Mytilus edulis: one gene and its partner. The protein of the gene in region 1 binds, or shares a complex with, the protein of each later gene. Links are inferred from orthologs where the notes say so. Each region holds a gene or a part of one and is shown on either strand. Other genes may lie near its edges. The genes, in order: dihydrolipoyl dehydrogenase, mitochondrial-like; lipoamide acyltransferase component of branched-chain alpha-keto acid dehydrogenase complex, mitochondrial-like.

Evidence for each region.
Region 2: the proteins of dihydrolipoyl dehydrogenase, mitochondrial-like (region 1) and lipoamide acyltransferase component of branched-chain alpha-keto acid dehydrogenase complex, mitochondrial-like are in contact, whole or in part, in a crystal structure (PDB 3RNM), measured with the Homo sapiens proteins. The link is inferred for Mytilus edulis from reciprocal best matches to the Homo sapiens genes DLD and DBT. Residues at the interface, in NP_000099.2 of Homo sapiens: Ser446, Thr447, Asp448, Arg449, Glu472, Tyr473, Gly474, Ser476, Glu478, Asp479, Arg482; in NP_001909.4 of Homo sapiens: Thr174, Pro175, Ala176, Lys196, Arg199, Leu201, Lys202, Glu203, Leu206.

Annotation. Positions count from the first base shown.
Region 1 is NC_092344.1:47,451,411-47,467,289, reverse strand, and holds the start of dihydrolipoyl dehydrogenase, mitochondrial-like, read right to left. Parts: upstream 6,526-15,879; 5' UTR 6,435-6,525; coding exon 6,393-6,434; intron 2,902-6,392; coding exon 2,838-2,901; intron 1,607-2,837; coding exon 1,527-1,606; intron 1,123-1,526; coding exon 984-1,122; intron 12-983; coding exon 1-11. Other genes in the region: early endosome antigen 1-like, read left to right, coding at 6,562-6,597, 8,257-8,289, 11,103-11,165, 11,728-11,823, 12,807-12,913, 13,509-13,656, 14,486-14,549, 15,313-15,419. UniProt on the Homo sapiens protein: Lipoamide dehydrogenase is a component of the glycine cleavage system as well as an E3 component of three alpha-ketoacid dehydrogenase complexes (pyruvate-, alpha-ketoglutarate-, and branched-chain amino acid-dehydrogenase complex).
Region 2 is NC_092344.1:17,372,100-17,388,218, forward strand, and holds the start of lipoamide acyltransferase component of branched-chain alpha-keto acid dehydrogenase complex, mitochondrial-like, read right to left. Parts: upstream 5,939-16,119; 5' UTR 5,867-5,938; coding exon 5,810-5,866; intron 3,593-5,809; coding exon 3,472-3,592; intron 3,129-3,471; coding exon 3,056-3,128; intron 1,857-3,055; coding exon 1,672-1,856; intron 1,216-1,671; coding exon 1,082-1,215; intron 120-1,081; coding exon 23-119; intron 1-22. Other genes in the region: mitochondrial substrate carrier family protein ucpB-like, read right to left, coding at 9,534-9,715, 10,816-10,981, 12,543-12,754, 13,618-13,757, 14,448-14,607, 15,924-15,987. UniProt on the Homo sapiens protein: The branched-chain alpha-keto dehydrogenase complex catalyzes the overall conversion of alpha-keto acids to acyl-CoA and CO(2).

The DNA of each region.
Region 1 (15,879 bases):
GACACTTTCAACTATAATTAAAAATAATTCTGCACATTTGAAAAATAACAATCGTACAAGTTTGAAAAGAAATCCGAAACTAATCAGACTCAATGCATATAAATAATCTATTTAATTTTTTGATTGACTTATTTTCATATGTGAAAATTCTTATTATTAGAATATCAGAATGAATTATCATTTGATCCTTTAATTTAGTGTTTATATAATGAAAGAGGATAAAAATTGTAAAAAGTGTCATGGAAAAGTAGGAGACAAACATTCGTGTTGAATTTAGAAAAAAAATATTCTTCTGGATATATATCAGTGTTCTCCCCAGGGCCTTTCAGCATCATAATAATGTGATGCTATAATCTTAAATGTGATGATATCTGAATTGATTTTCTTATAGATTGTGATGCTATAACTTTTAGAAACAAGATGGTATTTTAAATTCCCCTTTTTACTAGGATGCTATATGAAATATCTTTGGAAAACACTGTATAATATGGTTACTTTTACAAAATTTATACTTAAAAGTTAAAATCTAAAAAATATACTATAAATTGTTTCATAAAATAATTTTTGACATGCTTTAGCAACTTTCATGAAATATTTTTCATTTATTTTACTTTGTTTCATATCAAACTATCTTTATATGCTATCAAGAAACCAAAATTTAGTCCTGCTTAGCAGTTATATTAAGTTTATCTCTCAATACTCTATTATTTAAAAAAAAAACCAACATGTTAGTCTTTTAAATGCAGAAGGTTTGGTACAGAAAAGACCAAATTATTGTTGGACTTCATTGTTATTATTTCAATATTCTCATCGTTGAAGGCTGTACAGTTGCCTATAATTGCTTAAATTCATTTCATTTGAACTATGGTGGAAAGTTGTCTCACTGGCAATCATACCACATCTCCTTATTTTTATACTTAAATGACTTATGTAAATATAAAAATAAAATCTTCTGAATCACTAATTATATGTTCACAACTTACATTCAATGCCTCTAGTTTTGAGATCTTTACCAGCAGCCATATAATATAAATGTGAGTTGTTGAGTAATGCTTTTGATGGTATACACCCAACATTCAGACAAGTTCCTCCTAATGTCTCATTTTTCTCCACACATACTGTCTAAGATAAAAAAAAAAATTCATAAGAATTAAGCATACATAACAGAACATTCTTTAGGAAATTTGGTATTATAAATGGTGGCAACTCTTTGATTATTAGTCGCTGTCAAATTAATAAATTTATTTTGGGGTTTCCTGTTTTGTTGTGTTGCTGTTTTCTTGGTGTTAATTACCCCACATTGCCTTTTAAATTCATATATAGTTTGTAATAAAGACTTTTCTTCAAATTCAAAATACTTACAATATACATGATATATAGAAAGCAAGTCTTAATAAAGTTTGGTAAATTTGTCCTCAATTTGAAAGTATAGCATTCATACTTATTATTTGGAAAATGAGATAGCACCTGTTTCTGACAAAAATGTGTTTTCAAATAAACAAATTTGTTTTGTAAACCTTGCTTACTTTAAGGCCCAGCTGTGCAGCTTTAATGGCAGCAACATAACCTCCAGGTCCAGACCCAATCACAACTAAGTCATTATCAGCTGAAATATATGAAAATAAATATATGTTTAGGGAACATATACAACGTATAAGGCACAACTGTTTTATTCATTTATGTAGATTGTTCTGAAATTACAAAAGTTAATCTTGCATTTTTATCCATTCCCTTAAAAACACAATTATAAATGCATGCAATAAGTCCTGAATTTACAGTATTCAATTTTATTGCATAGCAATTTACTATTTCCCACAGAAAGTAACCAAAAGTTGGCGTGCAATAAATTCTAATATTGCACTAGTGCAATAAATCTTCAAAAATTCATGATGTCTTCAACTACAAAATCTTAGTTTAAACCAATTTTTACTTTCAAATATTATATTGCTATACAATAAAAGGGTTATTGCATGAATAATGGGGAATATTGTCCATCGTAGAACATATATTGCACTGGCAAGCTCATGCAATATAAAATTCTACTCAGGACAATATTCCCCAATATTCATACAATAACCCTAAAATATATTACATTCCACCAACCAAAAAAAACCAAGAGCTGCATGATTTTCTTTTATGAACAATGCAGTGCATGTCAAAATAAAAGCTGCAATTTTAACAAATGGGAGACAGCTCATGTTTGGTGAAAAGGGAAACTATTAACTATACAGAAATTTTACACTAAATATAACCAGCTGTTTAGTGTTATATATATATATCTTTAAAATACTGGTTAAAGAAATCATAACAGAGTGCACTGGCTGGTCATCATCAATAGATCTGTTTTTATTTGCCTGGCTTTAAAGTAATTAAGCACGATATTTCAGTTCTTATTTTATATTTAATCAATTACATATATACTTTGATGGCACAAGTCGACAACTCTCAGTTTTGGCTACATGTGCTGCTGTTCTTATCTATCAAGTCATGAATAGTGAAAAGTCAGCAGGCATGTTAAAACTGCATACTAAAAATTAACTGACAAGTGCAGTTATTAACTGAATGTGCACTGCAACTTGCAAAGTCTATAAACATCATTTTTTCCAATGAATGTAAATCTGGGGCTCCTTTCACAAAAACATCTTATGACAAAACTAAGTCTGACATAATTCATATAGTACATGTGTATGTGTCCCATGACTCACTATTTTTCTCACAAGATTTTTAGTGAAATGAGTTACTGTGTTTGAAGCCCTTACCATTTTATTGATTTTATATTTCGTAAACAAAACCAAGATGTCTACAGATCTTACTATTGCATATCTACTGTACATTACCTTCACTGGCATAAGATCTGTTCTGTGATACAATCAGACATCTCACAACTTTACTTGATGATCCCTAAAGTTAATTTTTATATTTTAGTGCCACAATACATTAGTTATACACATACTGGGAAAAAAATTAAAATTTACATTATACAATCAAATGAAGGTAAACATATATATATATATTATCACTGTCACTTTGAGATGAAAAATAGCAATAAAAGCAATGTTCCTTTGCTTTTAATGTGTAAAAGCTTTTGGAAGTGCATGAACTGATTTTGTGTCATGGATGGATAACCTATATTTTTTTTTTTTATTATAATAAAATTGAGAATGGAAATGGGGAATGTGTCAAAGAGACACCAACCGGCCTATAGAAAAAACAACAGCAGAAGGTCACCATCAGGTCTTTAATGTAGCGAGAAATTCCCGCACCCGGAGGCGTCCTTCAATTGGCCCCTAAACAAATATGTACTAGTTCAGTGATATTTTATATTTATTATATAAAAATAGTTTATTATACATGTACAAAAATCCTTTAAAGCTATTGGTGATTTTTGTTCAATTTATTGAATATTGACCATGACTTTCAGTGTAACTGTAATAATTATAATGACATATAATTATGTATGTCTTTCCATACTGTCCCCCAAAAAATAAGTAAATATTGTGTGATTAAAAGTAATTATAGAGATCAATATCTTATGGTAGCATTTGAAAATAGAATATTTTGATACTGTGAAAGTACTTTAATTCGTTTGTATCAATTTTCGTGGTAAGAGCAACATTCACATGTTCGTGGGGTTTTAAACTCATGGATTTGAGTATATTCTCAAAACAATCAAAAATGAAAAAATTGAAGCCATTAGAAACGAAGGTTACAAATTATCTGGATTAAAGTAAACATTGACCTGTGTAAATCGAAGTGTTCATACTAATTAACCCGAGATAGAGTGATCAACAGATTAAAGACCATTAAAAGTGTTAATTAAGCCATCCACATGTCACCTTATAGAAAACAGTTACATCAACAAATGTTATTAACGTATCTTGAATTGTAAAACAATTCTTATCAAAAGCAAGCCCAGCATGAAATTATTATTTCCCATACCGACGAGAATTACGAGGATATAAAATGAACACTTTATCATAGCATATCAATACCAGAAATCCGACTTTCTTCGATCAAAATATTTTTTGATGAGAAATAAAGATCAAAAGTTGTACAGTTTAGGTTTTTAAAGATGAAATAGGTATAATACTGTCTGCAATTGACATTGTTGTTCATGAAGCGTTTGCCTTGTGACTACTGTTAAAGTATTCTCAGATTTGGCAATACTTAATATATTCTCTACATGTACATCATATCAGTAGTCAAACATACTGGTGGATCTTTCGATGTCGTGATTTGGACAACGGTTATTTATTTTGTTGGACATTTAAATATGTGGATAAAGTCATCCACGAAAATTAGTTCCCCTCGAATAAAAGTACTTTCACAGTACTTGATTTATTAATGTGATAATATCATTTTTATGAAGCCAAATAAGAAAGGTGAATATTGATGCCCTTAAATCATGAAAATGGATGGCTATAGATCTAGGTCCATTAACGATAGAATGATAGATAGGTTTAATTTGTTACAATTTGAGAAAGAGTTTATACTTCATTTTCATCACCATGTTGAAGGTCTATGTGCACAAAAACCTTCATAAATCAGCAAAATTCAACTTGTTAACCCTTTCGCCGATGAGTCCCGGTTTACCGGGATTCACGCTTCAGACAACTGACGATGAGTCCCGTTTTACCGGGATCGGAATACATCTTTTATGTTTCCCGCTTAAAACAGTGCAAACATGAGTTATCTTTCTTTGATGAATACCCGTATGAAAGTATAAACATGGCGCTTCCGTTTGTTGAAAACCGTGTCAAAATCAGACGAAATTTACGGAATTTACGAGAATTTGAAATGAGGGAACATTTTTTTTGAAAGAATTGAAGCCAAACTAGTATACTTTTTTGACATAAAATGTCGTTTTATGTACAAAACACTTGGAATGGACATCGTTCAGTGTGAGGAATTTGTACAGCCTCATAAAATTTTTCAAAAGTTTGCCGTTTTGGGTTAAAAAATTACGATTTGGGGTCAAAGAGCAGAATTTTGAGAATTTCACCTAGATAATGCCGAAAATTTGAAAATTTGAATATTTTATGAGGAAAAAATTATCAAAACATGAATAAAACTGTGAACATGGTGTTAGTGAATGAAATAAATACACAATTAACTACAAACAAGTTTTTATTGACATTTTTTATGAAGATCTCCCACTTGAGCAATAGTATCCAGGGAAGCCATCGTCTCAGAGTAGCTTCTGTCTGGGCAGCAATCGGTGAAAGGGTTAAATTGACAAATACATTTTACAAAAAGTTTTTTTCTGAACAATTCTAATTTACTTTAACCTTAAACTTCCTTAATTCATCACTACAATCTATAATGGATCCATATCAGACTTGGTTGTATTTGGTTTGTCAAGTAAAAAAATCAGCCATTTCCAAAATGACTGACAAGGGAAATAACTCAAATCTTGAATTACATCAAAACTTTTCTATTTGAATTTGTCCTTTCACTTCTTTGACTTAAGGCCCCTTCACAGTTATTTCAGCCATATAAAGGCCTACAAATGTATTATAATAAACCCCTGATCATGATTGTGCTGTTGATATTCTGAGATTCTGTAATGATTACCATGTTATTACAGTGGGTCTCATTGGGGTCTAAGCATGACACGGGATTACTGATTTATTGTAAGCGTGACATGTGAAAATCAAATTATTGTGCCATGAAAACAGGAAATGAAGTCTAGTGGGACACAGGAAATAACAAAAAAAATGAAAATTACGTACCTAGTCATAGTATATTATAAGTTGGATACCGGAAACTGACAAAACAGTAAGCGGGATCCGGGATCAGAACCCTCCAATGAGACCCCCATTACAGAGCTTTAGAATTGACAAGAAACAAGTGAACTTTTAATTGAAGATTTAGAGAGAACCATGCACATGTTTATAAGCAGGATATTACAACGTAGACATTATATACACAGTATCTGACATATATGCATTCACCCATGTTTATTGTGTGTTACATTTCACCATTCCCATTGAAAAAAAACCAAAAGGTACAAATTCATATTACACACTAAATCATATGATTTGACTATATATCTGATAATCTGTACTATTGGCAGTATTGCATAAAATATATGGTGTATTCTAGCTGTCAAGGTCATGAATCTATATGATGTATATAGGCAAGATAATTATCTATGTGCGTTACAAATATTTGCTTTTGAATATGTCTCTTGCTGAATGAAAGTCACCTTGATTCAACCGAAATCGCTATACTGTATAACATTATGACATTTATCATACATGTGTATTGCATAAAAATAAAAATAATAAAAAAACAATGTCCTAGCTAGGATAATGAGTGTTATTGGCCAGTCTGGTGATATCTTTATCGATGACTGGTATTACAAAGATAACATTACTGTATGTGTTTACCTTTAAGAAAGGCAACGACTTTTGTGAGAAGGTAGAAAGCATATTTTGCTGAATGTGGTCTGCTTCTGAACTTGAGGTACACCGGCTACAGGTGTCGCTACAGTCGACTTCCGGTGACAACTTCCGGAAGGGACGTTCCCCGTGTCATCTGCAACACCTGAGAATAAAAATGTTCAGAAAGTTGCTAAATAGAAAAGACGAAAAGGTTAACAAATTAAAACCAACTTGCTATGTCCACACCAAACTATTTTTCATGTGTTATTAACTGCTATCAAATACCAAGAAAGGAAAAGAAACGTCCAAAATAGGAACTATTTACCATTTCGGCATTTGCCTTCTCTGACAGGGCTCCTGTGTTGATTCTTTTTCCAACAATATAAATTTTTCCACAATCCAAGTGATGTAAAGATTTAATTTTATGCTTCACTATATCAAATTATGGATCTCCTGTAGTTGGTGCTTGCAATACTGGTATACTTGTATAAATGTGTGCAATACCAGGGGAGTTTGAAAATGTTTAAATGAAATCTTTAGCAAATTTTATAAATATGCCAAACTCAACTACTGTGAATTCATTATTATTCGTTGGATACCAATTTTCTTGGGTACAGGTGAACCATAAATGTTCAACGAATTACAAATTTAATATTACCTTTGTTACATCTTCTGACTTTGGACTCTGGCTTCTATTGAACTGAATTTTAATGTGTGTATTGTTATGCGTTTACTTTTCTACATTGGCTAGAGGTATAGGGGAAGGGTTGAAATCTCACAAACATGTTTTACCCTGCCACAATTTTGTGCCTGTCCCAAGTCAGGAGCCTCTAGCCTTTGTTAGTCTTGTATGATTTTTAATTTTAGTCTCTTGTGTATGATTCAGAGTTTAGAATGACGTCCATTATCACTGAACTAGTATACATATTTTAAGGGGTCAGCTGAAGGACGCCTCTGGGTGCGGGAGTTTCTTGCTACATTGAAGACCCATTGGTAGCCTTCGACTGTTGACTGCTCTATGGTCGGGTTGTTGTCGCTTTGACACATTCTCAATTTCATTTGTATACAGAGATTATACTAAACCATGAAATGAAATATTCACGAAGATGCAAGTTTCCCTCAATCCACAAAAATTGATACCATCGAAAATAAATGAATCCACAGTATCACCTAAGAGGAGGGATAGGACCTTTATCATGACTTCGGGATCAGGTGTTTTTAAACTTGGGATTACTGGATCGACTCTTTCGTGATCCAGGAATTCTTTTTTCTAATTTCGGGATTGCAGGATTTAAAATTATTTAAATTCTAGACCTCAGGATTTCTTGTTTATAACCCTGGGATTTCAGGATGAGGACCCCCTCCTGCCCCCTTTAACCATATTTCAACAATTTACACTCTTTCATTCACCAAAAGGATGCATAAATGCAAGCTTGATTTTTGTATCCACAGTTTGTTAATTGTTTTTAAAGTGTTGGATAAAATTTGAGAAAAAAAACATTTGTTTAATGAATTTCAGTTTTCAAAAAGTCTGAAACTTGGTGAAAACTGTCATCATTATTATGAAAAAACAATGAAGTTTGTCTAAAGCATAAAATATAATAGACTGACAACTTTGAATGTATTACATGTACATCAATAAGAAACATGAGAAAGGTGTTTTGTTCTCACAGATTAGAACACTAATACATATATAATCATTAATGTATGTTCTTTTACTAAAATTCACTTTAGACAGACAGGTTTCAAATTTATACAGGATTTGATTTAGACATGTTTCACTTCATAACTATTCATTTGGTAATTGGTAAACAATGCTTTATAATTTAGCTTATATATTCATATTTATTCTATTTTGTTTATCCTCTAGGGGCAGGTTGTTGATAATGCTGATACTAACAAGGTGATTTATTTATTAATTTTCATCCTTCCTTGCCTTCCTTCATTGTCCTTGTCTTTCACATTGTGCAAATAAGTGTTTCTGTACTAAACAATTTTAAACAATTTCTGAAAAGAGACTAATTTGTTAATGAAAAATGGAAGTTATTAACGACCTTGACTGGCTCAGTGGCTATACATGTACAGCTCTTGCACGGTCGGTTTGTTATTGGAATCTGCAGATGACAAAGTATTTTTATTTAAAAGTTGATATGTTTTAAACAGGGTTGGCAAAAACCCGGGTTTTATGAGTATTGTCCAGCCCAGTGGGAAATACTGGGAAAACCCGGGTTTTACTGGGTTTTAATGGGTAATACTGGGCAATACTGGGTAATATAAAATACTGGCCTGAATTTTTTAAAGAGGATTCAGTGATCAAACTCAATTGCAAAACATTTAAGATATTTATAAACACATTTTGATTTATAAATTAGTTTACTTGTTTGAGAGTGATAATACAAGTGTATATACATTTGAAAAAGTACTATTCTTGCAACTATGAGACAAGTAAACATGTAGGCACACATTACACAGATATTAATGGAAAAGGCCTTTATCAATAATTCTCTTATGAAAGTCTATTAAATCACCCTCTTGTCTCGATTGGTCAAACTGTTAACATAACTTCAAAGAACTCATTATCAAATGTATATATATCTTACATTAAGAATTAACAAAAAAATGTAAGAAAAAATACTTTTGCATAATTTATATTTACATCACTAATTAATAAGTAATTATTCAGATTAGGACATTGATATGTTTATATAACAATATTCAGCCTTTTCATTTCTATAAGGGTTAATGACTTGACCCTGTAGGGTGTTTATTTAGCAATATGATTGCATATACATTTAAATTTATAATTCACATAAACACTGCTTAAACGGGTTTTTTTAAAGTTTGGATAGTTGAAACAATACATGGAAATTAACAAGGTACATTGTATTAATAATCCTAAAATATTCAAATCTGTTTTCTTCCTTCATAGAAGTAGTGGAGAAAAGAATGAAATTGAATTTTCAATCTTCTAGAAACATGACTCTCAATGGTTATCTGTATAAAATGTATATATTTAGCTATAATACTATGAAACTTCAACATGTACAACAAGACTTTACTATTTTGTGTTAAAATAAGCTTAAAAAGTCTTATTGCCCAGTATTACCCAGTATTACCCATTTCTGGGAGTATTGCCCAGCCCGGGAAAACCCGGGAATTCCCGCCTGGGTTTTCCCGGGCGGGTAATACTTTGCCAACCCTGGTTTTAAACAGTTGTTTTAATGTTTAATTATTGCAGCATTAAGATAAGTCTTACAAGTCTATTACTTTTTGAAAATGTTGAAATAAATAAGATTAAAATTGCCATGTTACAAATTTATGAGTCATAAGATTCTATTGGTAAAGATGGATATGCTTCTAAATATCATTGTAAAAGTACAGTTTACACAAGGGGATCATTTGAAAATTTCTCCAGACATAATAAAAAAATCAGATTATTCACAGTGAATGCTGATGATTGTGCTTGACAAGATCTGTATATATATTTAAGATAGTCAGATGATTCATGTTGTTTTCTTTTGGTACCAATTTGTGAGGATTGAGCAGATTACCAGCAATCAGATTATCTCCATTTTCACAGTGATTCACTAACATCAAAAAGGGGGATTTTAACTAAATCAACTTGTACATACCATGTTTTTTCTTGATTTTATTCCTTGATGAGAAGAGGACTTCTTGACCAGCAAACAAAGGCATTCATATTTTTTTATATTCTTTAGAAATTCTTGAAATGACAAAAAAAAAATTGATCTTGCCTGAAGACATCCTATACCTTTTACCCAACAACCTTCTTTTCTAATGAAATACATCTGCAGTAATGATAATTGATATTGTTAGTTCTGCCAAAATGATTTTACAGAAACCTCTTATTTCACTGTCACAGTTGTTTAGCATGAACACAGTACCCCATACTTATTCATTACTTTATTGCATGAAGCAGCATACATGTATACTAGACTCTGTGTTGCATAGTAAGTAGCCTGCCTAATTAAGCAATTATTCAACCATTTTTGAAATACACTTAGAATTAACACAAACAAATGCTCATTATATACAATTGTGGGTGAAAAATGAAGCATTTTAATGCAAATTTAAACTGTTGGTCGAAGATATTTCAGATTTTTCCTTGAAAGGTAGAATGTATATTTCACCATTTAAATCTTATTGAGCACATATTCATAAACTCATACCTTTACCATGTTTACAATATTTCTATTGCAGATTCAAACTGTGCATGCATATTATTTTCCATAACTGAGCTGTTTTTAGAGACAAAAACAGGTTCTCCTCTGTAAAAAATGTTCCATTGCAAATGTTTCATACTGCGATAAAAGGAAGTGTATTATATTGAAAAAGTAAAATGTTGGCATCTGACAGCTTTTTCAGTTTTTCTGTCAAACTGCCAAATCAAAACATGTAGTATCACTTGGATTTTATTTTTGAAACTCTTAAATGATTTTTTTGCAGTATATCATTTGGGTAACAAATTACTAACAGTAGAATGGATGAACCTGATAATTTTTAGTTACAAATGATAAAAAGAGTTGGTCTTACAAAATGTACAAACAGGGAATCTCAACTTATTGTAGGAAGAAGCACTCAAATAATTGAAATGTTAATTTAAATTGTGAATTTAAAATTCAAACTCTCCTTTATAGCTTCCCATATATGTAGTGTAATATTTTAGAATTATCAGCATTGTTTTTATTTTTACAGAGCAACTCTTCGAAGTCCTCCCCTGTAAAACAAGGACAGAATGATGCAGAAGAAGAGGCACAGGTAAGTTATAGGTGATGGGGTTGGGTTTTTTTTTGGGGGGGGAGAGGATAATAAAACAGAAAACAAGAAATTAAATCAACAATTTAACATCTATTGCAAACACACTTTATTTTAACTTCTTGTTCAAGTTTACTCTCTGTTTCTTTTTATAATAACTCAGCATGGTGACATTGTTACATGTAAATAATTGATTCCCGATTTCATTCTAGAGCATAATTTTCTGCATTGCTTTTATCCAAAACATGTCAATGTCTTTGAATGAATTAAATTACTGCCTACTCTGTTGTTATAAGAGTCTTGACATATAAGTTTATAAAAATTGTTACAAGTTTTTAACTTGCATTATCTGAGCTTCAAAAATTTGCCCTTCAAGCTTGCACTACCTACATTTGATTTATTCAATATTTTGTTTGTCCTTGTTACTTTTGTTGTTCAGTTTCACTAAAATTTGCCCCATAAGTTCTCTCTGTATCATTAGCAAAGAGACATTGGGATGCAGATTTTAATCAGACTGTATCCCTGTCTTCCCTTATCTATCCTAGAGCACTACTTCATATTTCAGGGATTTCTATGTCCTATGTGTATGAAATCCATGCAATCTGCTGAAGCCCTGCAGAATCATTTTGATGCTGAACATGACGAAAACAAGCCTCAGGGAGTATGTGAATTTATTTAATGAAACGATTCCTCATTGACATACCCAAAATTTATCTAGAACCCTGTTTTCTTTTATTAATGGTGTTATATACAATAAATTGATATAGTTAAACAAAGTCATAATGTTAAGTCAAAGATTTCCGAGAGAATTAATTTTGTATCATTGACATTTTCTGTGTCCTTCTAAAATATTGGGTGTAAATTTTGCATCTAGTAAGATTCAAATTATTTATACAATAAACTTTGCTCATTTCCATTCTCTATTCTATTGATAAGAAACACAATGTCAAAGATCAGGTATGAGTGCCAACGAGACAACTCTCCATTCAAGACAAAATTTGTAAAAAGTAAACTATTGTAGGTCAAAGTAGATTTTATTATAAAGTTCTCCTTTACTGTGGGTTATTCAGGTAAAAAGTATAGGTCAGATGTGTGGTTGGAAAACACTTTCGAAACCTACCACTCATACATTTTTGTAAAAAAATCAAAGTGTATTTATTATTTAAACTGTTTTAAATCTCCACACCCATCCTGATGTTTTGATATAAAGCCTTCCAACTCCAACATCCCTACTTTCCCCCTGAAATAGCAAATGCAATAAAGTAATAACTTTATCTTTAATTTATCTTGCAAGTTTATGAATATGAGCTTCTGCATTATGAGAGAGAAAACATTTTCAAAATTCAAATTGAAATAAAAAAGTTTTTTTTATTGGGTGTTTCAAAAACATTTGTTAAGGACTGTTCCATTAAAACATACATGGGATCCATGGTAATTGCTGTGAAATTTCAACTATGAGTGTGTATCAAGAACAGTGAAAATAGAATTGAAATTGTTATCTTGTCTCTTAAGGTGGTTACCATTTTGTAAGTACCTTACTGTGTACCATGAATGATAAAATTTAACAGATTTAATTCTGAATCCTTGTTAGGTTTTATATTAAACCAAATTATTAATGAAAACAATTTTTTTTTTATAATTTAGGAAGGATTTCTATGTCCAATGTGTAAGAAGTCCTATAACACACCAGAGGAACTGCAATCTCATTTTGAAACACATGACATGGAGGCTAATAATATATCAGAAAACAGGTTAGTAGGAAGATGTTAAGACAATGAGGGGTGATAGAGCTTACTAGAAAAAATAATGATTGATTGATTGGTGTTTAAAGCTACTTTCAGTCTGAGTCGGATCTAGAAAAAAAATAACATCAGCTAGATGTTAAATAGATTTTAAGCAGGCTAGTATGTTGTGAAATAATGTAAAATGCTGCTTTATGAGATAAGATGAATATTGATGGCCGTATAATGTCAATTTTTTCATGCATATTTTCAGATAAAAACATATAAAGATTTAATGATATGGTACTAGACCAATAGACTAGATTGAATTTTGAATGTGTCAGCTCACAAGTTTAGGAAGACATTAAGATTACATTAACATATTATTGGACTCTAAGCTAACCTATCTAATTATCTTCACTTCATAAATGCCTCATGCTTAGAAAGAGGATATATACTTATTTTGTGTAATTTTCTTCTCCTACAGTTTACAATCTAGATCTCTGAACAGGAACATTGTAAATATGTTGAAGTTGTGCACCTGTTATTAAGAATTGTTTTAGAATTTTCTTGTAGTTCTACATTGAATAGTCACAAATATTGAACTTTTTACTTTATTTTCTAGAGATGGAGATGTTTTTGCCCTCAGACAAGAAATAGAAAACCTAAAATTTTCATTGAGAGACAGTCAGAAATACACAGAGCAGCTAAAAATAGAACTTCAGAAAGGAAGATCTGGCAGTGGAAGTGGTAAAATACCTTTAACAGAAGATGTGAGTTATCTCCCTTGGTATTAACAAAAGGTGTAAGTTATCTCCCTTGGTATTAACAGAAGATGTAAGTTATCTCCCTTGGTATTAACAGAAGATGTAATTTATCTCCCTTGGTATTAACAGAAGATGTAATTTATCTCCCTTGGTATTAACATAAGATGTAAGTTATCTCCCTTGGTAGATGGACACACAGATAATCTAATGAATTTTATTACAGTGAAATGTATACAATAAATAACTTAGACAGGCTGCATAGATGATTATGATAGTTAAATGCTTAATTTCCAGTGGCAAATATTGCATATAGATAGAAAATAAGTTCAAATGAAGTGGATTTAAGCAATAATAGGCAACCAATAGGTCTTCCTAGATTAGAAAACCCCATTTCGTATGGTTTGCTATAAAAGGCTATCGCTCAGGGTAAAATATTTTGCATCAAGCCTATTAAAGGGCAAACCCATAGTAAATCATGATATATTCAAGCCCCCATGAAATATTTCTTAACAAACTTACTTCAAACTAAGAATGCTACCATATTTCCATTGGGCATCAGATTAGATCAGCTTGGGAGAAGACTATACAAAAAAAATAATTGAGAATGGAAATAGGGAGTGTGCCAAAGAGACAACAACCCGACCATAGAGCAGATAACAGCAGAAGGTCACCAACAGGTCGATTAACTTGTGTCTCATCCCTTTTGCATATTTAAGCAAATAAAATAAATCAGATTATACTTTATATTTTAGTTTGATTTATCTCAATTTTAAGAGTACATATATTGTAAATATTATTATCTCGTAAATACATGTATAAAGATCTTGTTTACTAGGAAAAATCTGAGTTAGAGATGATGCAGATGCAGTTAAAAGGCTCTGAAGAAAGTAGAACTATTTGTAAGTTACTTCCTATAGATTATATAATAAAATTTAACCACAGTGTAATCTACATGTTTCTCCCTTCATGCTCACACTGTTCTTCAAAATTATTCTGTGATTATAACAATAAATTATCATGGAACACTTCTGTAAAATAAAACTTTCCAAGATTTTGTATTTTTGTTAGAAAGAATCAAATTTAACAAGTTTTTATGTTATAGTTATGCTGAAATAACTCTCTATTTATTTACTATGTATGTGTCAAAGAAATTAAGGGAATGAATATTTTAAAATTGTCTTTTTATGCCCCACCTACGATAGTAGAGGGGCATTATGTTTTCTGGTCTGTGCGTACGTTCGTCCGTTCGTCCGTCTGTCTGTTCGTTCATCCGTCCTTCTGTCCCGCTTCAGGTTAAAGTTTTTGGTCAAGGTAGTTTTTGATGAAGTTGAAGACCAATCAACTTGAAACTTAGTATACATGTGCCCTATGATATGATCTTTCTAATTCAATGCCAAATTAGAGTTTTGACCCCAATTTTACAGTTCACTGAACATAGAAAATGATAGTGCAAATTTCAGGTTAAAGTTTTTGGTCAAGGTAGTTTTTGATCAAGTAGAAGTCCAATCAACTTGAAACTTAGTATACATGTTCCCTTTGATAAGATCATTTTAATTTTAATGCAAAATTAGAGAATTTATTCCAATTTCACGGTCCACTAAACATAGAAAATGATAGTGCGAGTGGGGCATCCGTGTACTGTGGACACATTCTTGTTTTCAGTAATGAATGAGTGCCACCATTTGAGGGCTAAAGTAGAGGAATTGTCAGCAAAACAAGAATTAATGACAGAAGAAGGCAGTAGACTGTCAACTAAATCTGGTCAAATGGTAATAATCTAATGATATTAATTTAAGCTTAATTTTCATCTAATAAGTATCTTATTTCTTGGAAGGAATGTCTGTACCCTGATTCTCATTTGACCTTGGTACATATATCTGACATTGTCCTAAAGAGTCCAAGACATTAACATCCACCCATTTCAAAGGTTGGCCTATTTAGTCCTTATGGAAAATATACTAAATCTTCTCTTCCAAAACTGCTAGTCCAGTTCAACTGTCAGTTAATAAACCAAATCTAACAATTATATTGAAGGATCAACCTTGCTATGGTTACTTCATATAGAACAAACACGTAAACAAGTATATAAGAAGTATTAAAATATGAACTTTTGAAGTACCTTCACCATCCGTGTGCATGGCCACAGCCAGATCTTAGTCACTATTTTGCAAATAATCTTTTAACTTTCTATTTAGATGCATCTAAGGGAGTCTAACTTGTTCACCTCTT
Region 2 (16,119 bases), about 30 Mb from region 1:
TTGATCAATACTAAAATCATGCCTTGTTTTCCAACAGAAGGGTCCTCCATGTATTTTAGGATATCATCTTTCAATATTCTACCATCTTTTCCGGTTGCTTCAACATCACTTAACTTGATCTACAAAATAAGGCATACTTTCTATTATAAAGGGATTCACTAGATAGTATACCGGTATAACATGACGTATTACAAATAAATTTATTTCTTTAAGAGTTAAAGGGCCTGTTCAGTATCTAATATTTTGATGTTTCAGATCTAACTAAATACACAGACAAACCATTCTACACTGACTGCACAAAAAAATATGCTAATAAGGGGTATCTTTTTGGCTGTGCATAATATAGAGATGCAGCCAATTTTCAGTTTTTAATGTTTAACCAGATGCCTTATGTAGGAAAAATTCTGCATTCTCTACACAAGAAAGAACCTTTACAACAGTTCATAAAGGGTTCCTAGTGTGGTATATTTGAAGACAAAACTTGTGTCCTACCTTACATACCCTCTTTTTCCAGTGGTAGTCCCACCATTTGTTGTTGTCAACCCTCATTGTTAAAACCTATCTACTGCACATTCCGAAATTATTGTGATTTTATCATTTTAGATTAAAACAATAATGTGTCCCTAGTAAACGGATGCCCCATCTGCACTATAATTTTCTATGTTCAGTGGAGCATAAAAATGGGGTAAAAACTCAAATTTTGCATTAAAATTAGAAAGATCATAAAATAGGGAACATGTGTACTAAGTTTCAAGTTGATTGGACTTCAACTTCATCAAAATCTTCCTGACCAAAAACTTTAACCTGAAGCGAGACAGAGGGATGAACGAACAAGGGACGCACAGACCAGAAAACATACTGTTTATAAATGGGGCATAAAAATTCAAAATGCGTTTAAATTATTGCGATTATAACCCTGTTACATTTTTGCAATAATAAACATCCCAATCATTTCTGTATTTACAGTATTAGATTATTGGTACTGTATTCTTGTCCAGAATATGCACGAAAGTAATCTGTCGCTAGGACATTAACCAAACAATCAATCAACCAATCATACTTTATCTTTACCATAATTTACCTTATTCTCCATGGCAAGTCTTCGAACTGCAGGTGTTGCCAAAACCTTCTGTCCACGTATCCTCTGCATAGAATGTTCATCATCTGATGAAGAGCTTGATACTTCTGAAGATGATGGACTACTCTGAGTTGTACCTAAATTAGATAACATTGCATTGATCAAAATAGTATTGCATTTAAATTACTGTGCAATTGCAGAAGGCAGATGGCTCAAATTTAACTAAAGTGAACATCTGGCTTTTAAATATAACATTTCTTGTAGTATTACCTTCTACTGTAATGATCATTTTGCAGTGGTCTTACTGGACTGTCACAAATACAGCTTATTTCAATAATTTTTTTATGAGACCGCATGAAGTAAGTACTCATCCAACAGTGATGTTATTTTTTTGGGGTGAAAATTGCATGACTTTTTTCATAATTTTACTAGATATACATGTATAGTGAAAGGTTGTTCATCCAGTGTGTACAAATGTGTTCAAAACCTTACTGAAGACAGTTTATATATAGGCCATTATACAGCAGATCCAGATTCAACATGAAGCATAAGTATCTGGCAATAAAGCCAAAAGGAAATCAAGGTTGACATACCAGGTGAATCAGCATCTGTTTCAATATCTACCAATGGTTTACTAACTAAGGCAATATCATCCACATCATAGTAGAGTTTAGAGATTATTCCTTTATATCGACTGGTGATTGTCACTGTAGCTTTATCACTTTGTACTTCACAGATACTGTCAAACTGACTCACATGATCTCCAACTTTTACAAACCTACAATTCAAATAAAAATAAAGTTCTCCAACCGTTCTTCTGATCTAATTAGCACCAAACTTATAAATGAACAACTTCATAAGATCAGTGTTCTCCCCAGGACCTTTTAGCATCATGGTAATGTGATGCTATATTTCTGAATGTGATGCTATCTGAATTTATTTTCTTATAGATTGTGTTATGGATGTGATGCTATAATTTTTAGAAACATGATGGTATTTCATATTTCCTTTTTTACCAAGATGCTAAATGAAAATAATCTGGGGAGAACACAGTAAGTTATCATAAGACTCAAGCTTCATTCCATTCTAAAAAGTCTAATATAAATTATATTAAGACTCTATACTGACAACTTTTTAAAGCAAGGGTCAAATTGGTGTTTGATATGATTAAACCAAAAAATTAATCAATCACAAAATAAGAAATATGCTAAATAGCACTCGGTAAAAAGTAAGAAATGAATCCATCAAGTTCCATTCCATTTTGTTTGTATTTGTTAAAATCTCCAAAACTTTATCTATCAAAAAGATATTTAAAGGTGAAGAACTACATCATATTGTATTTTGTATGATTTCCAATATCACACGCCAAGTTTTTGGAAATAATCATGCTTTGCCAAATATAAGATTGATTATGATATGTCTTTTAGAACGTTAACTACACATATAAGTTAACAAGAATGTGTCCATAGTACATGGATGCCCAACTTGCATGATCATTTTCTATGTTCAGTGGACCATGAAATTGGGGTCAAACACCTAATTTGGCATTATCATTAGAAAGAGAATATAATACGGAACATGTGTACAAAGTTTAAAGTTGATTGGATTTCAACATCATCAAAATGTACCTGGTGGCTTGACCAAAAACTTGAACTGAAGCGGAAGGACTAACAAACGAACAGACGAAAACTTGTCGAAAAGACCAGAAAACATAATCCCCTCAACTGTCATAGGTGAGGCATGAAATTGTAGTATGACATGTTTTTAAAGTAATTCATGGGAATGACTATACTGAAAATCATCTAAATCAAAAGGCAGCTAGTTGTCATAAATCTCAAACCTGAAAAGATTGACATGCCTGAACAGATCCATGGATGAACAATCCTTATATCCCAATATTTAACTTTGTAGTTGAATAAAAACTAAACACATATCATAGATATAAAGTTCCACTATTTGATAAGTTTGATAACATACCATTCTTTCAGCTGAACTTCCCTTATGCCTTCACCTATATCAGCAAGTTTAAACTGTACTAACTCATGACAAACTGTAAAATATAAATAATTAGAAGCTGTAATGACATTGATAAGCAGAAGTTTCTTGAAATACTATTCTCGGCTCATTAATTGGGTTGTTGTCTCTTTGACATGCTCCCTGTTTTCATTCTCAATTTTAGACAAAAGCAGCAATTGCCAGTTGTCAAATGAAGAGGCCAAGTAATTTGAATGTGTTCATTTGGTAATAATAATAAATAAATAAGAGAAGACTTTAGAAAATATTTAATTTCTTCTAAAGAACAAAAAAAAAAGATGTTATTATTTTTCATAAGGTAACTTAGGTTAAGGAACTTATTTCAATGTATGGTATGTCCATGTACATTTTGTACCTACCTGGAGACGAATGAAAAGTCCTACAGCATACTAGCGGACTGTGACAAATATACTGATTTGTTTTTCTTTGACAAATTGTCCTTGTATGATGTTGATTGCAATTGTTCTTTCTTTTAGATAACTGCAAAATAATGTAAAGAAATTTTTCAGTGCATACATTTATATTAATCAGTTTTTTTCTGAACTGTTCCTTATAACAATGTACAATAACCATGATTACTACCTGTACCACAGTACATGTACCGACATACATGTGATGGACTGTGAAACTCAGATCAGGAGATTTGGAAATTTTGGTCAGGAGATTAGGACTCAGATCAGGAGGTTTTTTATCGACATAAATTTTGTCGTAAATGTAACTGTATGATGTAGAAATTGTGTTTTTTCTTCAAATTTCCATCAAATTGTAATATGTTTATAGTACCTTTATTGCCTTTCTATTTGAATGAAAATAAAATATTAAGAAGAATTTGTTTTGTTTTTGATAATTGATTGTTCACTGCTTGCAAATAAATCATTATATTTTAATTTATTTATCTTATCTGTATAGATTTATATTTCCATCTCCTCATCATTGGTAACTGTATAGACAAATAAGAAAGAAATATGCTATACACTAACAATAGTACTGCATGGTTTTTTTAAAAGCATTATGAAAGTCATATAATTTCTAGAAAACTTTGACTCAAACCAAGGATTTGTATAGTAAGACATTATACTACAGTCTATGCAAAAGTCCACGAGATTCCAATCCTTCTTATTATACAAATCCTTGCTCAAACAGTGTAAGTTTTTTTTTTTATCTTTAGCTAATTCATTAAATTTTATATATAATGACATAAACAATTCTGATCCCAAGGTTCTAATAGGCATAAAACTAACTAGGATTTTTAATCAGCCTTTTTTTTTAAGTCCCAACACATTTAAATTCATTTAAATACCATCCTTTTATGAGTATTTGATTAAAATATCATTCATTTATAGTCTTTTTACATTTTACGTTTTTAAAAGCAAAATAACTTAAAACAGGATAATTCAAAGGGAAGTAATAAAAATGTATTTCAATTATTTCGAATACACAAAGTTTTTATTAAACAACGGCAGTTAGCAGAGGTAAACATCGTTGATTACCAGTAGGTTTGACACCCAAGCTGTCAAGTGAAGCCATATAATTATACATCTTCTTTGATTTACAGGTAAAATTTAACACAGGTGTCAATTGCACCCGTACGGTAGTAAGAATTTATCAAATACGGCGGATGAAAATTTTCATTCATGAAATATTTCATACACGGGAGTTTTTTCTCCTAAACGGGAGGACGGGAGGAGACCACTGAAAACGGGATTATTGTACTCCCGTCGGGAGGTTCACATGTATGTGTACAATAACCATGATTACTACCTGTACCACAGTACATGTACATGTATATCTTTTTATCATTTGTTTTTGTCTAAGAAAATTCTCAATGCTAAAGTTGTTATAGTCTTAGGACACCTACGGGTGCGGGAGTTTCTTGCTACATTGAAGAACCATTGGTGGCCTACGGAAGTCTTCTCTATGGTCAGGTTGTTGTCGCTTTGATACATTCCCCATTTCCTTTCTCAATTTTATTACTAAATTCTGTCTTTAAGAGAAACTCTGCTGTGATACAGATCGTCGACAGTGTTCTAGCCAAGATTTGAAAAGGGCAGGGTGCTAGTCAGAAAAAGGGCAATTTTGCGCATGAATGTCATTGAAAAAAAGGCAATTTACGCGTAAATTTATATCATTTGTTCATGAAACAATTACGATTTTACCGATATTTTAAAGGCAGAAAATGCCAATTTTCTGTGATAAAAACGGAAGGGCGCCAGAGGAACGACAGAAAAAAGGCATTGCGTCAATAAAAAAGGGCATGCGCTGCGCCCTGTTCAAACTCTGTAGTTAGAACACTGGTCGAGTTTGGCATATTTATACACCTTTATTGCTAGTATTTCAAACTCCTGTGAACAGACCAAGGCCGAAACCTCTTGTTACCTCAAGCATAATTTCCAGTGTTTAGTTCAAGCTTTAATTTCACTAAAAACTAGGGGGAGTGTAGCAATCAGTCTGTAATTATTTAGAAAATCTACGAACTATTATTTTGGATAAACTAGATTCCCTTCTTAAAAAAAAGAAGTGAATGAAGCACACACGAAACACAAACTGAATTTACATGGATCCTGGATCGAATAACCGTCTTTTAAAGTGTGTGTATTTAGTCATTGCAATAATAACAACATATTATTTTACAATATTTAACATCTACCGATAATTTTGATTGACTGCAATTGTTTTTAGGGATTGATAAATTCGTACATTATTAAGAAACCTAAACTTTTCCCATTTCAACCTTCGCAAGGCCGTCGATGCCATCTTAAACTGGTTCTTTAGATGTTTGCAAACAGACAGAAGGATGCCATCGGCAGGAACCCAGGTTGAGATAAAACTAAAATTTTTATCGATCCCGATAACAGTATCTGCAAATCCTTTTCCTTTAGATTCTAAAAAATCTATACATGATTATTGCTGCCCCCGAGCAATATTGATTATCTTCTTTTTTTAATAGGTAATATATTTCAACTTCAATTGCTGTCTAATCGTAGAATTTACACGGATTAAGATAAACTACTATTCTGTGTGTTGAAATAGTGTTTTGTGATTGGTTGACTGGGACACACACCCCAACTTTTTCCCATTAAAAATAATTCAATTTATTTATTAATTTTCTTTATTTAATGGGCTCTTGCAAATACGAAACAACTTTTTGGACTTAACCAACTCACGTCCTTGATATTGGCTATCAGATTCATTTCCCATTAGGGAACAACCATTTAACTAAAAATAAAAGGGGGGAGTGGGTTACATTTGTTCTTCTTAGTCAGATTTTTCTTCTTGCGCAAAGTATAAACAATTTTATTTAGTTTTCAACGCAATCAATCAGATTTTTTTTCTTTCAAAATGTTATACTATGAAGTATGGGGGTTTCTGATTTGCATTCAGAATACTGAATTCATGTTCAAATGTGTTGTCATCTGCATGCTTCACCACATTATTTTTTCCCGTCAAAGTGGGGCTCGGAATATTTAGAGAAATTGAAAAACGCAAACATAACACTTGCCCTCCACCACCTGGACGTCGAATTGTTGATTCCTTAGATGTACTGCTCCCCAAAACAACACACGTAGTTTATATTTGTCTTTCCTTCACCCAATAAAATCAGAGACATAGTTTGTATCTCAATGCCGTCATGATGAGATTGTTCTGGCAATTTTAATTTGATTACAAGAAGGAATTGAATTTTTAAAGGGGTATTTCTAATATAGATCAAGGTTTTTGATTCAGTGTTATGTCTTTATTTTTTATGCTGAGATGTGTGTACTTTTGTTTGTCTTTTGATTTCGTCCTTTCTTTTTTTGTCATGGTATTGTTATTTGCTTTTGACTTGTGAATTTAAATATCCCTTCCTATAGCTTTCCTTTAGCAATAAATTTGTATCCGATATCGCGTAATATTTTTTCAGTTTTTGAGTGTAAAATTCTCCAATTATTTGATCATATATGATTTTGGAAAAAAGAGTCGGGCTTTAAAAAATATTTTTATAAATTTCCGTGTGTGTATATGATCTGCATACGAAGCCACATATGAAGCCTGGGTTGGTAATTGATAATCGTAAACAGCAAATTAAAGTCAACACTGTTCTGAGTGGTTGTGCTAATATCCATAAAGGCGTGTCACAGGGTTCTTTACTAGGGCTATTGTTGTTTAACATATTTATAAATTATATTTTTCTTTTTGTTAAAAATGGTAGTTTACATCACTATGCAGATGGTAATCTGTACTCCAGATTCTGATTTATTAATTTCAACTTTGGAATCTGAGTCAAAATACTTATTGAGTGGTTCCGGGTAATTAAAATGCAAGCAAATCCCGACAAGTTTCAAGTTTTGGCTGTTGGCAAAAAGACCTTTGACCTTTGACCATCTATACATATTCAAATTTCGAACCTTACATACATGTGAAAAACAGTAAAATTATTAGGCATTGAAATTGACCATCAGTTAAATTTTGATGTTCATGTCAGCTCAATCTGTAGAAGGGCATCAAGGCAATTAAATGTTTTTAAACGTTAAGGCTTAGTTTTGGTTAGACTTAGTAAACTTATTATTTTTCATACTTTTATTCTAAGTAATTTGATTTTTTCCCTTTGGTATGGCATTTTTACACTGAGAGAAATTCCAAAAAACTAGAAAAGGTGCAGGAAAGAGCACTTCGTTTCGTATATGAGGATTTTACCAGCTCCTATGAGGTCTTCTAACTTACTGAGGCTAAGGTGCCCTCCGTGCAGATCAGACGGATAAGAACAATGGCTCTAGAAACTTTTAAGATTATAAACAATATGGCTCCTGTGTGCTTACACAATTTGGTGAGTGTCAAAGAAATTTAAAAGTATTCTTTTCTCGCTGCATTGAATACCCATTGGTGACGACGGCTGTTGTCTGCATAGCAGACAGATATGATCGGGTTGTTGTCTCTTTGACACATTTCCATTCTCAATTTTATTTCAGGTATGTAAATATTCTGGAAATTCCGTAGGTAAAGCCAACCCGTTACGGTAAAAAAAAACTTTCAAATTTGCTGCTGCTACTTTATGGAACAGCCTTCCAAACCATTTCAGGACTGAAAATAGTTTTTTTCACATTTTTAAATAGATATAGGAAGATGTGGTGTGAGTGCCAACGAGATAACTCTCAATTGTCCCTTGTTTTGTATAGTGTTGTACGGTGAATAGTAACTGATTACATCCTTGTCCCTTGTTTTTCATTGTGTTGTACGATGAATTGTAGTTGATTACATCTTTGTCCCTTGTTTTGTATAGTGTTGTACGTGAATAGTAGTTGATGACATCATTGTCCCTTGTTTTGTATAGTGTTGTACGGTGAATTGTAGTTGATGACATCATTGTCCCTTGTTTTGTACAGTGTTGTACGGTGAATTCACGGTAGTTGATGACATCATTGTCCCTTGTTTTGCATAGTGTTGTACGGTGAATTGTATAGTTAATGACATCATTGTCCCTTGTTCTGTATAGTGTTTTACGGTGAATTGTAGTTGATTACATCCTTGTCCCTTGTTTTTCATTGTGTTGTACAGTGAATTGTAGTTGATTACATCCTTGTCTCTTGTTTTTCATTGTGTTGTAAGGTGAATTGAAGTTGATGGCATCCGTGTCCATTGTATATATCATTGTGCTGTACAGTGAATTGTAGTTGATGGCATCAATTTCACTTGTTTTTCATTGTGTGGTGCGGTGAATTGCACTTTATACATCCTTGTCCCTTGATCTTTTAATCGATAGTTGTCCAATTTGCAAACATATCTAGAGAGACCTTTAGACACAGCATAAGAAACAATTTGAAAAAAAAAACCAGAAGGAAATCTTTTCCATATAGAACCAAAGAGCTTAGTACCATCCCCTCCCCATCGAGGTTATTGATTTTCTAAATATATTTACTTTAAAAAATTAAAAAAGATCCCCGAACTTCACCATGACAACAACAATGTTCCAAATACAATTTTTGGTTCGTTCTATTTCTTATAAGTCATTGAACCTTCTCCTCCGTCTGCATTCTTGTAAAGGTTTAAAAGTACAAGAGCCAAACTATAATTACTTTTTATTGCACATACAAAACTTAAATATCAGCTTGCACCTGCTCTCTCTGTTATACACATTCCGTACATAAATAAATTTCTTAAAATATAACTGTATAAAAAACACCATTTATATGTATATGAATAAAAATGTCTGGATTACACGTATATGTGTTGTTGTAAACAATATTTCATGATGAATAATCATAAACAAGTATAATTATAAACACATTCACAATAAGGATTCACTGAGACACAAGCAACTCGTGATTATACTAATCCGTCAAGCAACAAAGTGCTTATTTTGATCCGTCTTCTAATCCGTGTATGTATTCCCTGAGAATCGTTTTAAAAACACTAAATTACAAAACAATCCTAGTCCTTTTTTACATCAAACAGGATCCATCCCAACAGATCGTCTTAACTGTTCAAATATAAAGAATGATATAACAGTATGAGGACCAATTCTCATCCAGTTCGGTATAAACCCTTTATAAAGTCCTAAAAATCCTTCTGTTTTGACAATCTTCATCAAACAATCAAACGTCCCCTTATAAACCTTCTCGTGGTGATCTGAAAAACATAACAAATACCTAAAATTCCACATTGACCACACAACTTTCTTTTTAATATAGATAATGTGTGGAATACCCATTTTATTTTGTTACTTATTTATTTATTTGTGATATCACAATGATCATGTTATCCATAGTCCGAGATTACTCTTACGTCCAATGGCTGTTTTGACAGACAGGCTGGGGCAGCTTGTCTGGCAAAACAGCCGTTGTACGTTAGTGTAATCTCGGAGCTTGTCTGGCAAAACAGCCGTTGGAAGTCAGAGTAATCTCACACTGTTTGTTATCTCGGACTGTTTGTTTGGCAAAACAGCCGATGGACGTCAGAGTAATCTCGGACTAGCTATCAAATGATTACGCGGAAACGGGAATAATCATAAAATGTATAACTTGCTTTGCCATGTTTGTGCAGTGCTTACTGTTCTTTTCTTATTGTAATGCATCAGAATCGGAATAACAGTACTGTAGTTGAAGAGTTGCCACCGTCAATTTTGACTTGACGGTCGCAAATCTCCGTTTTCACTGTCTCCGCTACGCGTCGCCAGTAAAACTGCATTCGCGACCGTCAAATCTGCAATTGACAGTGGCAACTCTTCAACTACAGTACTGTTATTCCTTAATTTTAGGTTTTATTGCATGAATATTTTTCTATGCTGTTGCATATGTTTGTATGTATCCAGTTAAATTCTCTCTAGAGCTTACTAACAACACCGAATCTAAATAAAGTTTTTGCATTCAGTGTTAAACATCCATGTTCGGTAAATCAATTTTGAAACAAAAGAAATCATTAAGTTTTTAAGGAATACTTTAACACATTGTGCAATATTTATAATTGTTTGTGACAATAAACTAAACATCATCACAACATATATATATATATATAGATATAAAGAATAAATAACCGACAAACATAAAGAAAAAATGCCTTATGGACATGTAACTCTTATATTTGGAACAACGGAAGTATGTATACATACTATATTACAAGTACCCCGGTACGTAAATTTATACTTTAATGCCATGTAATGAAGTGTCATGGGAATTATAAAATATACTATAGATAATCAAACAACTCGGAAAGTAAATAGTGCTTCTTACGTTCATATTTCTGGTTCATGATTCTGGTTTTGACGACATCTACTGGCGAGGTTGTAAGTGCAGCCATGAAACCAGCTACCATAGATGATATAATATGTAATAGTGGCCCTTCGTCCATCCATTTCAAGTTTAGTATCGTGTGTTTAGTATGGTCATAGCTTGGGATCTATATATGGAGAGAGAGAAAAAAACATGAAAAGCAGTGAACTAGCAGTTGGTAGTAGCATAACTCTGTTTTGAGTGTCTTTTCTCCCACTAATATATCCTGCATTTGTTTATTTCTTGTAAGAATTTTACACGAGACATTAAAACTTCATGATTTTATCAAACAGTTTATGACGTCTGCACACAAGATCCGTAGGCTGGTACTGATTGATACTATATAGTTTCCCTATTGGAGAACATGATGAATTCATTAGTTGAAATGACATTGGACTAACTTTAATTTATTTATTTTTTGTTTTGCTTATTGCTTCGTGCATATATGTATCAATCATTACACGAACTACAAAATTATCGCCTGCAAGCTTTCATCTAAAATGTACAAATCATTCAAGGACGATCTATTAAGCTGGGGTCACACATTCACGATTTTTACTACCGTCCTTGACAGGACCATTCCCGATTAAAATTTGTTAAAAGTCTGATCAAGATCCTGTGAATCGTGGATGGAAATTCAAACTTTAATTAAAATTGGTAAAAAAAAATAATTTGATCACAACAACAATCAGATAGTGTTCAGGAAGCGTCGATATTCAACCGTTTCCAAGCGAATATGTCCCGATAATCCCGTTCTAAATCCGCTTCTAATCCGATTCGTATTTTTCGCCAGGTAAAATTCGACCGAGTCTGTCACCACAGCGTCCCGACTCTACCGAATGTAATACGACAGAGATCAGGCAGTGACCAGACAGTGAACCGACGCTGACGGAAGTTATCCGTTCGAAAACTGTCGGCATATTCGGGATGATCAGGTACTGTCGGAACGTAATCCTATCACGGTCCGCTCTATCGCATTGCAAACGGCTTTGTCTGGTCTCAGTCTTATTGTATTCTGTAATTGTCGGGACTCTGACGTGAGTATCATTGACGAATTTCGTATTCATAACGGGACTGTTTCGGAACGGTTTCGGCAAAAAACGGTTCGCAATCGACAAGATCTGGATGCAATCTTGACTCAATCGGCAGAAAAACAGCTATGAAAAAATACTCCAGATCTTTTCCGTTGCACAGGACACCGTCCAGAATACACAAAACATTGTTCGGAATTCGATCCGATACAGCAGAATCTGTCACGACATAGCCACGATTGTAATCCGACTAGACAAAATCGGCTGAGTTGCCCCGAATGTTACGGGACGCACCTAACTGTCGGGGTGCTTTGCCGAACTATTCGGACCCTTCCCGACCCGTAGGAATCTGTTACGAACTAAAACGACTGCGTTCAGACAATGATAGGACATTCCAGATAATTGAGGATACTAATCCGACTTTTTCACTTTTCGTGTCGTATTGCTCTGCTTTCGTGTCATATTGCTTTACTCTTCATGGGCCCGTTCATTGGAATAAACATATCTTATCTTATCTTATTGCTGTCTGACCTCAAACGGGAGCAATAACTGGCAATGTGTGAACCCCGCATTAATGAAAATTGTTTCATTATGATAAAAGTTAATCTAGGAACGTTTTTGAAAAGCACCATATCATAATCTATTTAATCATCATACCTGCGTTGCCGTAAGAATTGCCGCCCTTTTTACAGTTGGTCCAACACCTACATATAATCCTTTTACTCCTTCCTTCCTAATTATTTCTGCAAAAGCTGAATATGTATTTTTATAACGGGGTGTTTTGTCCCCCGCTAAATGTCCATGAGTGCATGCCTGCATCCTAACTTTAACAAGATCCGTGGGGGTTGCTATAGAACTGCCTATCACACCTGTTTCAAGAAAAGAACATGTAATACTGACAAACATGACAAAGAGGATTAACAACGGGTGTGATTGCACATGTAATTTCATACCTGCATTTGAGAAGGCAAGACAAAATAAATGTAAAAATCAAAACATTATAATAACATTAACGGTACCAATGTTTCTGCACCAGATGCTCATTTCGACAATACATATCTCTTCAGTGATGCTCGTGGCCAAAATATGTAAAATCCAAAGCTTATAATTAATATAACATACGCATTTACCAATTTAAGTCCGTTGGTCCTTTAAAGAACAACAAAGAAAAATTAAGCAATTTCTCTGCATTTTTTTTCATTTGTAAGGGATATAACTGTAAAACGGTAAAAGTGATGCCTACAAAACTCACACTTGATCTGTGTTTTGTGGTAATAAGGATTGTACAGAAGTTTCGTAACATTTAGTTGAATCAAGCTAAAGTTAGAGAATGCAAATACAATGTTGGACGTACAGACGGACAAGGATGTAATGCCTGCTACAGCGGAGCCATTTAAAATATCATTATAATGACGCCTTAATTTCTTCTATTGTGAAGCTTTCACATCACACTATTTTCAGAAAGTAACATTTACGATTTCATTTTTGTTTAAACAAAATATAAATTGTGTAATATCGGTCCAACATGCTGCATGTATTAAGTAAATTTTGCTACATTATACATTAAAATCTCTCTTAATTTTCGAATTTCGAAAGTAGTTATCGTATGACAATTATATACTTTACATTAATTTTGATCATTTTTAATATTAAGCAAGCGTTAGCTAAAAAGCAAGTCCATTTGATATCCTGAAAAAAATAATGTATGGAAAGGGGCGGCAAAAATATGTACCTGAAACTGCACCCGCGCAAATCTTCTTCCACAAAGGCGTGTGTGCTTTATCTTTTGCTCCAAGTAGAACTTTGATTGGTTCATATGCACCTAAACGAATTCCACTATAGAGAGCTTCTCTCATCACAGACGGCAACAAACTGTAAAATGTATGTTTTTGTTCTATAAGTTACATCATTAATTGAGTAGTTGTTTGAATACTATATTCATTATATTTGATGCATAACATTGTATTTGTGAAAAGGTTAGTTCTGAACATTCATGCAGAACTTATAGATCTTATAGTTTTAGGGTATACTTATTTCCCATCAGGTATTTTTTAAGTGGTTTCTATGTTTGCTTAAAACCGTAATGTTCGGTATCGCAGATTCATATATGCCGGTATGTGTACTGTGAGTTTTTAATGATTTGCAAAGTTGACGTACCTTTTCTGAACATGTGACCAAGATTGCAACTTTAATGAAAAGCAAGTTTTTTAAATGTATATTTTTCTAAAATGGAAATATGAAGATGAAGAGTTTTCTCAACCCAACCCATACCTACTTAGAAAGTATTGTACGTGTTAATATTAGTTTGTTTGTTTAACGACGTCATTGAACGTCCTTTCTCAACAGTAGGTAAACTTTGCAATATAAAAACAAACAAATTGTTATCTCAAACAATTATACGATGTCTTCTCTTTACTACATTATTCCATACAGCATAACTATTTCTAGGGCAAGAGTGTACTGGAAATCGTCTTAAATATAAACACGTTTTACATGTGTAATAAAAAAACATTTTTTTGTTAAAGCTCATTGACAATCCCCAACGTATTGTTATTGACTTACCCTTTATATAAACCTCGGAATCCTTCATCTTTGAAAATTTGAATTCCTCCTTTGATGACACCCTCATAATACCTATTCCTATAAACGTCCAGTCCTTTTTGTCGAGTTAGTTCATTTTCTAACTGCATTCGAATTTTAACTACATCTAATGGGTTTGTAGCTGAAAAGAGACAAGGCAATATTATTGTTATTGGGGCACTAGCTGTCAAATTCATGTTCACTAATATGACTGCAAATTCTCATATCTTATTTATCAGTCACATATACTTTTCAATGGGGTATATGGAAAATTATCGCGAAAAATTCCAGTCTTGATAATGAATTCCCCTCGCCTTGCGGCTCTTGAAATTTACCATTTTCTCGACTGGTATTTTTTGCAAATACCCCTCCTTAACATGAAATATATATCTTTTCAAAACTCCATCTAATGAACCATCGAGGTAACCTCCGAAGAATGCCGACGGTTAAACCCCTATATATATATAATGTAAATAGAAATAGAAAGCGAACTCGTGTAATTTGATTTTTCTATGTTTGTTTGATTTCATATTGTAGGTGAACATATATGTTAATCATTGTTTTTATCTTTATAAGAATGAGTCTTTTTGAAAACTCTAGCTAAGGAATTAAACTAAAGTTCACATGAATGCGGATTCAATGAGGATGAATTATTCACTTGCAAGCAAATGATTCATTATCGATGTATCTTACCTTGTTCTGACACATTTAACCATACTGTTAATTATTGTATCACTCTTTCCCTTTTATTAATGATTGAATATAACAAAAAAATCATATTTTTTTTTTAAATATATCTCGCAGATTTAGTGTCCCTTGAAATATATCTCGTGGCTAGTGCCCCTTTAAAAATAAATTTAAAAAAAATTCTGGACGAACATCAAAGCCTATACAAGCCTTATAAATCCAAGATGGATTGAAAAAAATATATCTTTACTGAAATATTTCTGATAAAACTATCACGTTCAGGCCGAGAGCCGGTAATCCCCCTTTTTGAATTAAAAAGAAATTTTAATGAATAGTTTATATCTGAAAAAGTAGTCACAAGAGTCAACTGAAATCATTTTGTGCCTACTTTAATATGAATGCACATTGCATGTGTTCAGTCATGTCAGTGCATGGTAAGTCGTTCCCTGGTAAATCTATAATTCTATAAAAGATGGGGCTATATAGATCAATAATAACACTAATATTTAAGCACATAATACATCCGATTATAGTTTACACACACATACAGTTATAATGACATGTATAAACATTTTATTTACCATGCAAGAGTATACATACACATCATAATACACTAATCATTATAAAACATGCGAGAAAAAGAGTGTTCGTTGAAAATACACAATACCAGACAAAGAAATAAAATAAAACATGCATGAGCGATATAGGATATTATTTCAGTTTTCCTATAACGTGTATATATATACATTATATAATACTATATACTGTTACCTGTAGCGCCACACATATTGGAAACACCTGCTAATAAAAATCTCCATTTGTCCTCATTCTTCATACTTATTTCCTTGATTAACACTTATTTTATGACCTATCTTCGTTATACACTAGTTTATTTTCCTTTTCGTCATCTTACGTTATTTAATCTTAATTGACGCATCATTGAATGTTATAAAAATAGTGTTTAACG